Linked DNA regions of Styela clava. The protein of the gene in region 2 purifies or fractionates together with the protein of the main gene of each other region. This does not show direct contact. Links are inferred from orthologs where the notes say so. Each region holds a gene or a part of one and is shown on either strand. Other genes may lie near its edges.

Region 1 (5,856 bases), on a different chromosome or scaffold from region 2:
ACAGCCTGTGGTTTCACCCAGATATTTGTATCTGGCCCTCCTGTATGAATGAATGAAATTTAGAGTGTAAAAGCCCCCCTTTCAAATTAAAAAATGATTCTATTCCAAGATAACCCGCAATAGCTTAGTTGACATTCGAATGCACTCATTCGCTATTTTATTCTACTTTCTTCACTGTAATTACATCTTTCCAATCAATCAAATAATTTCAGTTTATTGCTTTGGTGTACAGTACAGCAGCTATTTTCTGATGACATTGAATATATATAACATGAAAAAAGAGCTTATTTGGTGTCATTTTCTCTTAGTTATCAGGCTAGGAAAAGGTTATTAAGAATACAAAAATACAAAGTAAAAAACCAGAAAAAAAAATCAAGCCATTCTGCCAACCAAGTGTAGTAGGGATGACTAGAAGAGAACAGATTAGGCACTTGTTCAATTCTGAACAAATGTCTGTGCCCAGCCCTTGTGCTAGTGCTAGTAATTTTAAATTCTATTGTTTTATGTAGTTGCATTTAAACTGCAGAATTATGCTAATGTGAGATTCCATCCGTTATTTAAAAGGTGGACAAATTTGATCTACTATGCCAGCATGACTACGACCATTGTAGAAAAAATAGTTATTATGTGGAGCATCTCGTTGTGATGCAGCTTTTATGATTTCTTGGCCCAATACCCCACCAGTTATCGCACAAATTGGATTCAGTTCGGAAATACAAAATTGAGGAAATTCTTCAGGAATGTAAGTTTCTGAAACATTTGAATCCTTGAGAACCTCATTTCTCAGTTCTAGGAGTAAATTTTGATCTTCTTTGCCGAATGTTGGACTTCGACCCGTCTTTTCCTTGAATTTGTCAATTACTTTAATGATAAAAAAAATATATGATGATTGTCGCATCATTCTCCTTGATCTTGTTGACCAATCCTCAGTTAAAGATTCTTCAAGGCTACAAAATTCATCTGTAACTTTTACAAGAATCTTTTCTTCTTCTTTTTTGCCCTTTTCATCTAGTTTGCTCTTTTTTGCTTCTGGTTCTCCATCAAGATCATACTTTATCTCTTTTTTCACTTCTTCACGCACAAAATCATGCATCCCCAAATCAGCAAAGCAATATCCATAAAATCCGAAAACATCACCACAAAAGAATTTGATTCCAGATGATCTGCATATTAAATTAATTCTTATCCTTTCTTCGAATGGTACCTCCGTTAAACAAACTATATCAAACTCTCGAAAAAAATCATCCGGTTTATCCGAAATTGGCATCTTATCGCATGATACGATTACATTTGGATTGAGCGGCTGTGTTCGGGCCATTGATGCTTCTGCTCTATTTTTTCCCATGTCTAAATGAGTTACAAGAAGCTGAGAACCCATATCAGACTCTGAAACTACTTTGTCATCAAGCATTGTCAAAGCCTTTACACCTGCAAGTACAACATTTTTGACCACCTCAGAAGCAAGTCCACCGATTCCAACAACAAGAACTTTAGCTTGACGAAGACGTTTTTGTGCATCAAGTCCCCACAATCGAATTTGGCGATCATATTGTGCAAACTCCTCGGCAGTAATATCAGCTTCTTTTTCCATCATTACAATGTTGAATATTTGATAGAATTAAGATTTTAAAAGATTACTACCTAAATAAAAAACATTTGCAGTACAATATCATGTTTCAAGAAATGAAGTCGAAGAAAAAATTGACATGAGCATGAATAATATATCGTTCGAATTAGGTGAGACAAGAGAAATGACAAAAATAAAGTTGTTTCAAAAAAAGTTTCCCTGCCTGATCGGGGCTACATTTTGATAAAATAACTCAAAATGAATTGTTTTTAAAGCTGTGCTTAGTGGAGTTGTACTGACAAGAATTACTGATTTGATTCAATCCATTTCAACAATTAAAACATGACAAATTTATAAAACAGGATGGCTTCAAAATTGAAAATTTCGAAACACATTCATCTATAAACGCAAGCCACGATGGATAGATAGCCACAATTATTTAACCTATTACAATAGAAAATATTAGGAACATATCTCTATTTGTAAATCATTTTAATTCTGTAATTATGGACCTACATTTATTAGCAGTTTGGATATGAAAAATAATACTTGATTGAATAAAATAGTTTAATTTCATATGGACTTCTTGTCTAGAGCTTTATTCATAGTGAAATCAAATTAATTTCATCAAGATAGTAATATCATTTCAAATTAAATACAAAGCATTGCAGTATTTCCTGTGAAATATTTCAGTTTTAAACTTCTCAAACAACTAAATATTAAAACTAGTAAGAACATGGCAGTTCATGCTTCATAACACTAGTCAATTTTGAGGTGGGTATGACATGTGTCTCAGATCTGCAGATGTCAGTTTCCAAGCGCTTTCCAATTAAATCACACTTCAATCAACATTTGGACGATCAGGAGGTGGTCCACAAGGTTGGAACATTCTTTCTAACACATTAAATCGAACTCGAGCTCTTGTTTCGTTTTCCGCAATAGCAATGTGACTTAGAAGATCCGGGTGACCAATGTAAGAAGCAAGACTATCACGATGTTGATTTGTCAACCATTCCCATTTTGTAGTGTCAGAGTGTCCAGTACCGACATATTTCGACTGCAAATGCTCCATTTGAGAAAATATATTATATCGATCCCCCATTTTGATTGATATTTTGTCTCTGTACACTCACGAAATACTTATTCTCACTACAAACAACCACCAAATGCCAAAAGAAACCCAAAGTACGGTAATCCTTCCTGGATCTGATCACAAGGTGGTGCACATGTGTCTGTCAATATATTTGTCAAGTCATACTACGTCATTATATCTACATTATTGTGCATAATTTGAGACACGTCTGCAAAGAAGAACTTGTTGTTTGCTGGTTTTTAAAGTTTTCATTGATATTTTGTCAGTTTGTCGTGAGTATTAGGTGTAGTTTTATAATAAGGGATATTCAAAGATGGCGTCTAATGATATTGGAGACTGGTATCGTGGAATACCGAGAATAACTCGTTATTGGTAAGTTACCGGTACGTAAATTTTTTTACCAACTGACTGTAGTTACACTCCAATCAGACAATACAGGTAGGCTACACAGGTACAGTTTACACACAGTCTTTGGGTCCAACAGTCAGGTATTCATTATATAGTACTGTGCCTATCTACCAGTACCTAGCTTCATACCTCATGTACTTCCAACATCGGCGCGGCGGTGTGGCTCAATGGGTTAAGCATTAGGAATACGCTCGCCACCGCACCTCTAATTACTCTGCGTGGGTTCGCATCCCATGCAGAGATGGTTATGTGCGAGAGGATTGCTGGACTCCTCGCCGTCGTTGGGTGGTTCACGTAACCGCTGGTCGGTTACGGCTTCCTCCACCACCAAGTCCATGCTTCCGAAAACAAACAATACAGTATAACTAACTAATCCCATACCCGACTTGGAATGGGACTCTCGTCTAACCGGACGAGAGGCCGTGGTTTGCCATATGGATAAGCCGTCTTATCGGCTTTCCTCTCCCCCGGGATAAATATGTAAATCCTATCCTATCCACTGTAGTACTGATGTTCTGTAATATACCATTATTTTACACACATTCTCTTTTCAGGTTCAGTGCATCAGTTGTAGTTCCACTTGTGGCCAAATTTAACATTATTAATGGAATGCATTTGATCTTGGATTGGTACAGTTTATTCAGTAGATTTCAGGTAATTTGTTATATATTTTAATACTAATTTTTGATGTATAGAAATGTTAAAATATTGACCATAATTATACTTTCTTTCACTCCTTGTTTCAGATATGGCGTCCATTCACTGCTGCTGTTTATTACCCAATAACACCGATGACTGGTTTTCATTATCTCATTATGTTATATTTTTTGTACAGTTATTCAACAAGACTTGAAACTGGTGATTAATTTTCTTACCTAATTTTTTATTACACATCATAATAATCCTTGTTCATCATCTCAATTGTTTTTAGCAGAGGTCACATTTTATATTGCTTTATAAATAATGTTTATTATGACTATTTCTTTTTGGTTCATCCTGGTATATCTTGGTATTACCATTTTGTCGTCTGCTACCAGAAATTATGAAATTAATATTTTAGTTTTATATTTTATCACATGGGAGAGGAAAGCCGATTGGATGACTTAATCACACACGCATTCTTTCTATATTTAATTCATTTATACATTTACATACAGGTATATTTGAAGGGAGACCTGCAGACTATGTTTTCATGCTTGCTTTCACATGGCTTACTACAGTGGTAGGAACTATTTTCATGAATGTAGCCTTGCTCTATACCTGATTGTAGTTGTTGAAATTATAGTAGTAGCCTAACCTTCTTACATTTCTCAAAGCATGAATCGTAAGTGATCTACTTGGCCAAGTATTGAATCACTTTTCGGTTCTGTTCAAATTTACCATATTTCTTATATTCGACAATCGCAATTTATGATGACTGAGTAGTCAATTTATTCTCAAAAAAAGTTGAAAATATCATGTTCCTTATTATTAGGATTTATGCATTCAAATTTTATTGATTATTCAATGTTTCTATGTTTTACATTTTTGGCTTTATTCATGAAAAATTTTAATACATATAAATTCTTGACTTTTTCATTCAAACTTGAAAATTATAATAACTTATTACATTTCATAGGAGCAAATTAAGCCATGCATTTTTTTCATTCTGCCCATCTGAATTAATTTAACCATACCTGTTTTTTTTTAATTCAGGGATTGGCATTGGCTCTGGAAATCAGGGTAAGTTAATTTAATTATGCTTTCATCATTTCAATATGCTTAAAATATCTAGAAGACTAAGACTCACATACTCAGTTTTGGAGTTCATCAAAGTAATCCAACATTATAATGTCACCAGTGCTGAGCATTTATAAGCACGTTAAAAATGATTTTCATTACTTATATATTTATTTTTAGATCATGTTTGATTTACTCATTTTCTCTGCTTTGTACGTTTGGTGTCAAATAAATCGCGATCAAATTGTATCATTCTGGTTTGGAACCAGGTTTAAGGTGAGTTTATTTGTAGAAATTTAGACAATTATAATTGTGTATTGAGTGTCTATTTCATGTTCTGTAAATTTATGATTTCATTCTGACTAAAGATTTTCACACTGTATTCACATAATTTGTACCACTTAAATGTAAATATGCCAATAATATTAAATTGTGCTGTTTGCCTCAAAGCGGCACCATTTTTATACTTGTGGGATAGAATTGCTAGGAGTACTGTAAAAATTTACTCTATTTTCCAGGCCGCTTACTTACCATGGGTTTTGTTTGCATTCAACATGATTATCAGAGGAGGGTAAGTTCTGAATTTTTCATTTCAACTATATTCAAATACTAATTGGTCATACAGAGATATTACATCATTTTGCATTACAGAGGAATGTCGGAACTACTTGGTATATTTGTTGGTCATCTTTACTTCTTTTTGAAATTTAAATATCCTCAAGATTTTGGTGGAAGAGCATTATTGGAAACACCTCAGTTTTTGTGAGTAATGTTTGTTTGTTACGAACATTTGGATGCATTGTCGTCTACCATTTTTATTATCAACTTTTAATGCTTGTGGAATTAAGATTTAAAAATTAGCAGTGTATGAAAAAGGGTATCAGAAATCAGAAACACAAAACGAGTGCAGAATGAATAGTATAACTTGCAGCGAATGATCAATAACTTTTTTTCATTTTTTTGCCACTCTTTATATGACTAAATTGCTAATCTTATTTTATTTACTAGATATAAATACTTTCCCAACATGCGAGGTGCTGTATCAGGGTTTGGTGTTGCACCACAGTCT
Region 2 (6,420 bases):
ACATCAAAATTTGGTTTTAGTTTGGTTGTGGCAGCATCGAGCGAGCCAGTTTGAATTACCCAACGGCCGTGTTTGGCCCCATGTCAGGTATAACCCCTTGTTTCCCAACCTGGGAGGAAGTATTCGAAGAAGAAAATCCGCTTTTTATTTGCTGAGTATTTTTTCATTATTTCTATAATAATTAATTATGAACACATTATAAACTACTATAATTCAATGTATAATAAAAGGGGGATGAGGGAACATGTGGGCGAGGTGTTGACTTGCATATTCCACTAGCTAAAGATCTATTAAAGATGGAATAAAATTAACATAATATTATCAGACTTGAAAAGGCATCAGGTCCATCGCCTGGCAGTCCCATGGTATCGCTATCTCAAACAAGGCAGAGCTTGACACCTGTGTTCGAGTAAGTCAGGATTATGTAATATTGCAGATATGATGAACCAAACTCCACTTTCGATGTAAAAATACGTACTCATATGAGAAATTTTTATCCATTCCACTGAGAAAACTCTCGTACATTCTGGATTTAAATTCTTCAGCTAAAAACTCCTTCTCTTCTTCGGAAATATCTATGAAAAGAATGATTAAAGGAAATAGGATATGGCAGAATTTAAATTTTGTTCCGAAAAAAAAACTATCTGACTAACGTGGTCAATCATATCACAACCTAGTACTAACAACCGCTCGTACTAGCACTGATAATTGTCCAGGTGTCATAATATAGTATTTGTTGGACAATTCAAAAAAGTCATTCTATTGCATCGTTTCAGTGATGAACGAAGACCTAACCAAACCTAACCTAAACTCTGTGAACAGGTCAACCAATTTTGGGTCCAGTCAAACTCTCACAAATGTATTTCTGCAAGGTTTCATCCGAATGAGATCAGTACATTTGTGTTAGTACGAGGTAACTTTCTTGAATCAAATGAAATTCTTATTCATATTGAATACAATTATTATCAACTTTCCTCTCCTCCGGGATAAATATGCAAATCCTATCCCATCCTAATTTGAAGAAGTTTACCGCGGCGCTGTGGTGTGGCTCATCGTGCTAAGCGTTGGGAATACTCTCATCACCGCACCTCTAATTACTTTGCGTGGATTCACATGTTGGAATCCCATGCGTGAATAGTTATGTTCGAGAGGATTGGTTAACTCCTAGCCGCCGTAGGGTGATTCACGTAACCACTGGTCGGTAACGGCTTTCTCCACCATCAAGTCCATGCTTCCGAAAACAAATAACTAACTGATCCCATACCTGACTTTGACTGATAACAGGACGAGAGGCCGTGGTTCAAGATATGATTAAGTCATGTTACCATCTTCCTCTCCCTGGGATGAATATGTAATTCCTATCCTGAAGAAATTTACCTGGCACACGTTCCTCCTCTTCTTCACTGTCATCATCAAATTCCTCATCTTGATTCTCATCCTCTTTGTCCCATTTCTTCTCAATAACATCCATGAAGAATCCAGAAAGTGTGGTTGGATGGGCAGCAGCTCTTGCACTCATTCTTTCCTCTTTTTCTTCTGCCGATAGAAACCTAGTGAGAAAAGAAGATAGATGGAATGCCACACTAAAACTAAAGCTAAAGCTAATGTCATATTTTTCAGTTATGGACTTTTTTCGATATCTTGTGATTATAGGCCTGTTTTTTTTTTTGGGGGGGATTTCTGACAGAATATTGGTAAAGAAAGATGAGATAACCAAGTTTTATTACCTGTTTTAGTTTTGAATTCAGGGTATGCCGAATGTCAAATTTTAAGTTTGTACAGATCTGGAAATTGAAAAAAAAAAAATTTTCTCATAACTTTAAAATGTGATACAAGCTGTACTCGATTACAAATAGAGAAATATCTTTATCATTAAAAAAAATGGTATCAATGACCTCAAACGGTCCCCAAGCAGTGTTGTTAAACGGTATTGTATTATTAACCTAGTCAAAGTGCTAATAATTAGATTTCTGTGGGACCAACTACCGTAGTCATACCTCTACAATGATCTTGCACAGGTGGATCCGTAAGCATATAATGCAAGGAGGCCAAAGACAGAGAAAAAATATATTTGTGTTGCTTTGTTATGTACAGCAAGACTCTTGGATTACTTGGCTTAAAATAATTGTCAAAGTGCGACTGTATACATTTGTGTTAGAGTGTAACAGAACTTAACCTGCTACACTCCAAAGAAAATAACTTGCCATTGCCAGTATAAATTTGCTTTCATCACTTGAACATTTATCTTAAAGTTTATTCTATTCAATAAAAGGCAATCACACTATTGCACAGGGGTTCCTCCAGTCTCTGTAATGTTGCATTGGTGTTCTTCTCCACCAAAAAAGTTGAAAGCCACTGCAATATACCAGTGTTTCTCAACATATGGGTCGTGACCCGAAACTGGGTTGCCTAAAAAATTTCCTGGGTAGTTCGCTTTTTTCAATAAAAAACTGAAAGTTACTAATTTTATTTTATAGTAAATTTGATTGTTTATTGTAGATTTGGTATTTAAGTGTTTCTCAATAGTAATTGCATGCGTGGGCAGTATCACTGCATAAAATCTTGACATTCAATTTGCTTTAGTAAAGCCATGCATCGATTCCATGCTGATGACAAACACACACAGTTTCCTCACTTCAAAATAATTTTTGGAGGAATAGGTGTTATATCAAAATGATTGTTTCATGATAATATTCATTTAATTTTGGCCATAAAAGTACTGAACGTTTAGTATTTGAGCATATCCTTGGGCCGGAAGACCCAAAAATCTATTTATTCGAATACTTGCGTCACTTAAAAAAAAGTTTGAGAACCACTGCACTAGACAATATCACAGATTCAGGACTAATGAGCAATGAAATAAACAAACCTTCCTATGTAATGTTGATAAAGCTTCGGATTTCTTTTACTCATTTCTTCCTCATTAAAATATTCTCCTTCTTTAATCATTTGTTGCATAGCTTGATATCGACGATTTTTAACTTCATGTGAAATATAATGACTGTCAAGTTCTGTTCTTGCTTTTAGATCTTGTTTGTGACAAATCTGCCGGATGTAATAACAGACTTGCTCATTTTCTGGTAAAGAATTGAAGCAGGAAATTTCATTTGGCTTTATATGTTCATAGTATCTTTGCAAGAACCTCATGGGGCTTTGTTCGAAATGTTTTTGAAGTTCATCATATTTTTTCTCAGCAGTGAGAATTCCTTTGTCTTCAATCACCTCGGGAGTTGTTCCAACTTTCTTAATCGGTAAGAAAACTTCATCCAAACCTTGATAATAACAAAAGATAAAATCAATTTATTATATTTAAACAAATTATATCCCATGATAGCAATTCAAAAACTCTTATTTTTAAATTGGGGTTCAATTCATGATATTCATATAGTAAAAAAAAATTTATAATAAACTTCAATTAAACTTTTAATAGCAAAATAGCAATTTTTTTCAATAAAAAATATTCAGGTTTTCGAAGAGCGTATGACATTGGCATATATTATCGCAATGCTTGAAGCCAAAAGCCTATATTACATGTAATAAATGTTATTTCATCCTATTTTTTTGTTTAAGTTAAATCCTGTGCGACAAAGTGAGATCGCTCATGTAGTACTTTTATGTTTCGTGCTTAAACATCATTTGAAGTTTTGGCAATCTCTCTAAATCATTGGCTTGTTTGTTATCAATTTCTGCGGCATTGCGGTGTTCAAACTGGACTATTTAGCTATCTTTTGATGACACAAATACTCTGCAAACATTTTTCATATAGTAATATCTTAGAAATTCCATCAAAACACAATTGTTTAGACATTTCTGCTTGTGGAGTATGAATTACTCACCTGCTAGTCTTTTACATAAACATTCAATGCTATTTTTCTCATCCATGATCATCAAAATACATCCACAATTTAGGGCTTGATTTCAAGTCGAACCATCAAAATCACATCAGAATAAAATGAAAAATTTGCAGCACAAAATTCCTCAGAATTTCATGAGTGTTAAAGCTGCAAATATATCTATACTATAGACAGTCGCAGCCAGTCCTACAGTGTCTGGGTGTTGTGATAAACTAGTAAATAAAGAATCAACATTTAGTATTACGGCATTTGTCAGTTTGGATAAAGATTTTAACCTTTGAAACCATACAAACTAATTAAATTTAGCATTGAAAATTGAGCAATACAATCGCTGATAAATCACAAAACTTTATTCAAATATAGAAAACCAAATATAAATTAATTCTGAAATTCAGTAATTCTGTAATTGGTGATAACATTTTCAACAAATTTGCCACATACAGAATAATTAAATTTATAACTTGTTCTAAACTTTAATGCTAAACAAACAATACCAAAACACAGTTTCACACTTTTAAAGTTGGCCTAAAAGTTATTTCAGCATGGAAAACAATCTATCAGCCACGCAATGGTCTGCACAATGCAGAAAATCAAAAAGTTCTTGGACGCAATCTTCTTCCGTTTGACTCCGGCTATTCACTCGATCCTCGCATCGAACTAACTCTTCTCTATAGGGCGAGCACTCCGGAATGTTATTGCAAGTTTCCTTAACTGCGTCCATTGGGTCAACTAAGTCTTCCTCTTCTTCTTCGTCGTCGTCATCTTCCTCGTCTTCAGGATCTTCGGGATCGTCGTTGGCGTAAATTTTCTGTTCTTCAAGAGTCATTTTTGCAGTTTCTTGAAATTCAGTTCTAACGAAACGACGAAGTTTTAGTTCCGAGCAATGAACTCAAAAAAAAAATCGAACCAAACCAGCAATCAGAACGTTAAATCCAGACCAACGACCTCTGTGAAGCTAGCAGCAAAACACGAAATTGTTACTGACAGAATCGCAGAAAATACCCACGCGTAAAATTAAATGTTCCCAATGATTTTTATAAGAAAGTGTATATTTTGATTATTTTCACAATAGCAATTAAAGCAAAACAATCATTAACTACACTCCTCGTATTGTTAATATATGGTAAACAAGCTAAAGCGACTGTTACAGTGCACAAAATTTTTTTATAATTCTTTGAGAGATGTTTAAAAATGACTGAATTTTCGTCGTGTAACATGGTCGTTTCATGAAAACCTCCAATAAAGGCAGCATTGCAACACCATTGGTGAAAAGTAGAAACCTCAAAGATTCGATTTCAATATGTCAGAACAGTCTCAGCACGTTTTGACTTGACCATATATAATACTAAACATAGCGTATATTCTTCAATTTTTAAAACAATGTATATACAACAAATTTGAAACTGATTTTGTATTTCAATTAAAATTACTGGATAGTTCATCAAAGAAGATATTTTTCTCTTTGTCACACAACAATAATGCACTTCATTAAACTTAGAATAAGTTGAGTAAAGTCTGAAATACTGAAAAAAAATTTACGCCCTCTTGTGGATTGTTTAATAAATTTCACAAAGTTATCGTTTTCGAAAGGGCAGTTTCTCAAAAACCGCCAATAAATGCAGCACTACGACACATTCGAAGAAAAGCAGATACCCTATAGATTCGATTTTAATATGTCAGAACAGTAGCAGCACGTTTTGACTTGGCCAAATATAATTCCAAACATAGCGTATATTTTTAATTTCATTGAAAAAATGTAGATGTGACATATTTAAAAACGGTTTGGTATTTCAACTAAATTTACTGGAAAATTCATCAAATACTTTCTTCTCTTGGGTATACAACAAAACTGTACGTTTATTAAACTTGGAATTAGTGTGCAAATGTTAAAATGCCAAAAAATGATTTGACGCCCTCTTGTGGATCCTTTTCGGAATTTCGAAAAATTATCGTTTTTGAAAAGGGCGATTTCTCAAAAACCGCCAATAAAGGCAGCACTACGACACATTCGGAGTAAAGCAGATACCTAATAGATTTTATTTTATTATGTCAGAACAGTAGCAGCACGTTTTGACTTGGTCATATATAATACCAAACATAGCGTGTATTCAAACTTTTATAAACAATGCAGACGTAACATATTTAAAAACAGTTTGGTATTTCAAATAAATTTCCTAGATAATTTATCAAACATCTTTTTCTCTTGGACATACATATATACTATACGTTCATTAAACTTGGAATAAGTTGCGGAAAGTATAAAATACCAAAAAGCATTTTACGTCCTCTTGTGGATTTTTTTCAAAATTTCAAAAAATTATCGTAATTGAAATAGCGATTTCTCGGAAACCGCCAATAAAGGCAGCGCTACGACACATTTGGAGAGAAGCAGATACCTTATAGATTCGATTTTAATAAGTCAGAACAGTAGCAGCACGTTTTGAGTTGGCCATATATAATACCAAACATAGCGTATAATTTTTAATTTCATCAACCATGTATATGTAACATATTTAAAAAAGGTTAGGTATTTCAACTTAATTTACTGGATAATTCATCAAACACT

The links. Proteins that work in one complex are often made in the same cells at the same time.
Region 1: the proteins of coiled-coil domain-containing protein 97-like (region 2) and splicing factor 3B subunit 5-like purify together in Homo sapiens (affinity purification with mass spectrometry; 3 studies listed by BioGRID and IntAct, counting the BioPlex papers as one, with this or other methods). This does not show direct contact. The link is inferred for Styela clava from reciprocal best matches to the Homo sapiens genes CCDC97 and SF3B5.

Annotation. Positions count from the first base shown.
Region 1 is NC_135262.1:19,157,700-19,163,555, forward strand, and holds splicing factor 3B subunit 5-like, read right to left. Parts: upstream 2,757-5,856; 5' UTR 2,670-2,756; coding exon 2,409-2,669; 3' UTR 1,642-2,408; downstream 1-1,641. Other genes in the region: SUMO-activating enzyme subunit 1-like, read right to left, coding at 554-1,594; derlin-1-like, read left to right, coding at 2,974-3,032, 3,623-3,722, 3,815-3,926, 4,226-4,290, 4,764-4,790, 4,968-5,063, 5,306-5,358, 5,439-5,549 and 1 more. UniProt on the Homo sapiens protein: Component of the 17S U2 SnRNP complex of the spliceosome, a large ribonucleoprotein complex that removes introns from transcribed pre-mRNAs.
Region 2 is NC_135257.1:17,904,451-17,910,870, reverse strand, and holds the start of coiled-coil domain-containing protein 97-like, read right to left. Parts: upstream 3,976-6,420; 5' UTR 3,889-3,975; coding exon 3,837-3,888; intron 3,273-3,836; coding exon 2,870-3,272; intron 1,551-2,869; coding exon 1,378-1,550; intron 576-1,377; coding exon 479-575; intron 1-478. Other genes in the region: cytochrome b-c1 complex subunit 6, mitochondrial-like, read right to left, coding at 4,387-4,680. UniProt on the Homo sapiens protein: May play a role pre-mRNA splicing through the association with the splicing factor SF3B complex which is involved in branch-site recognition.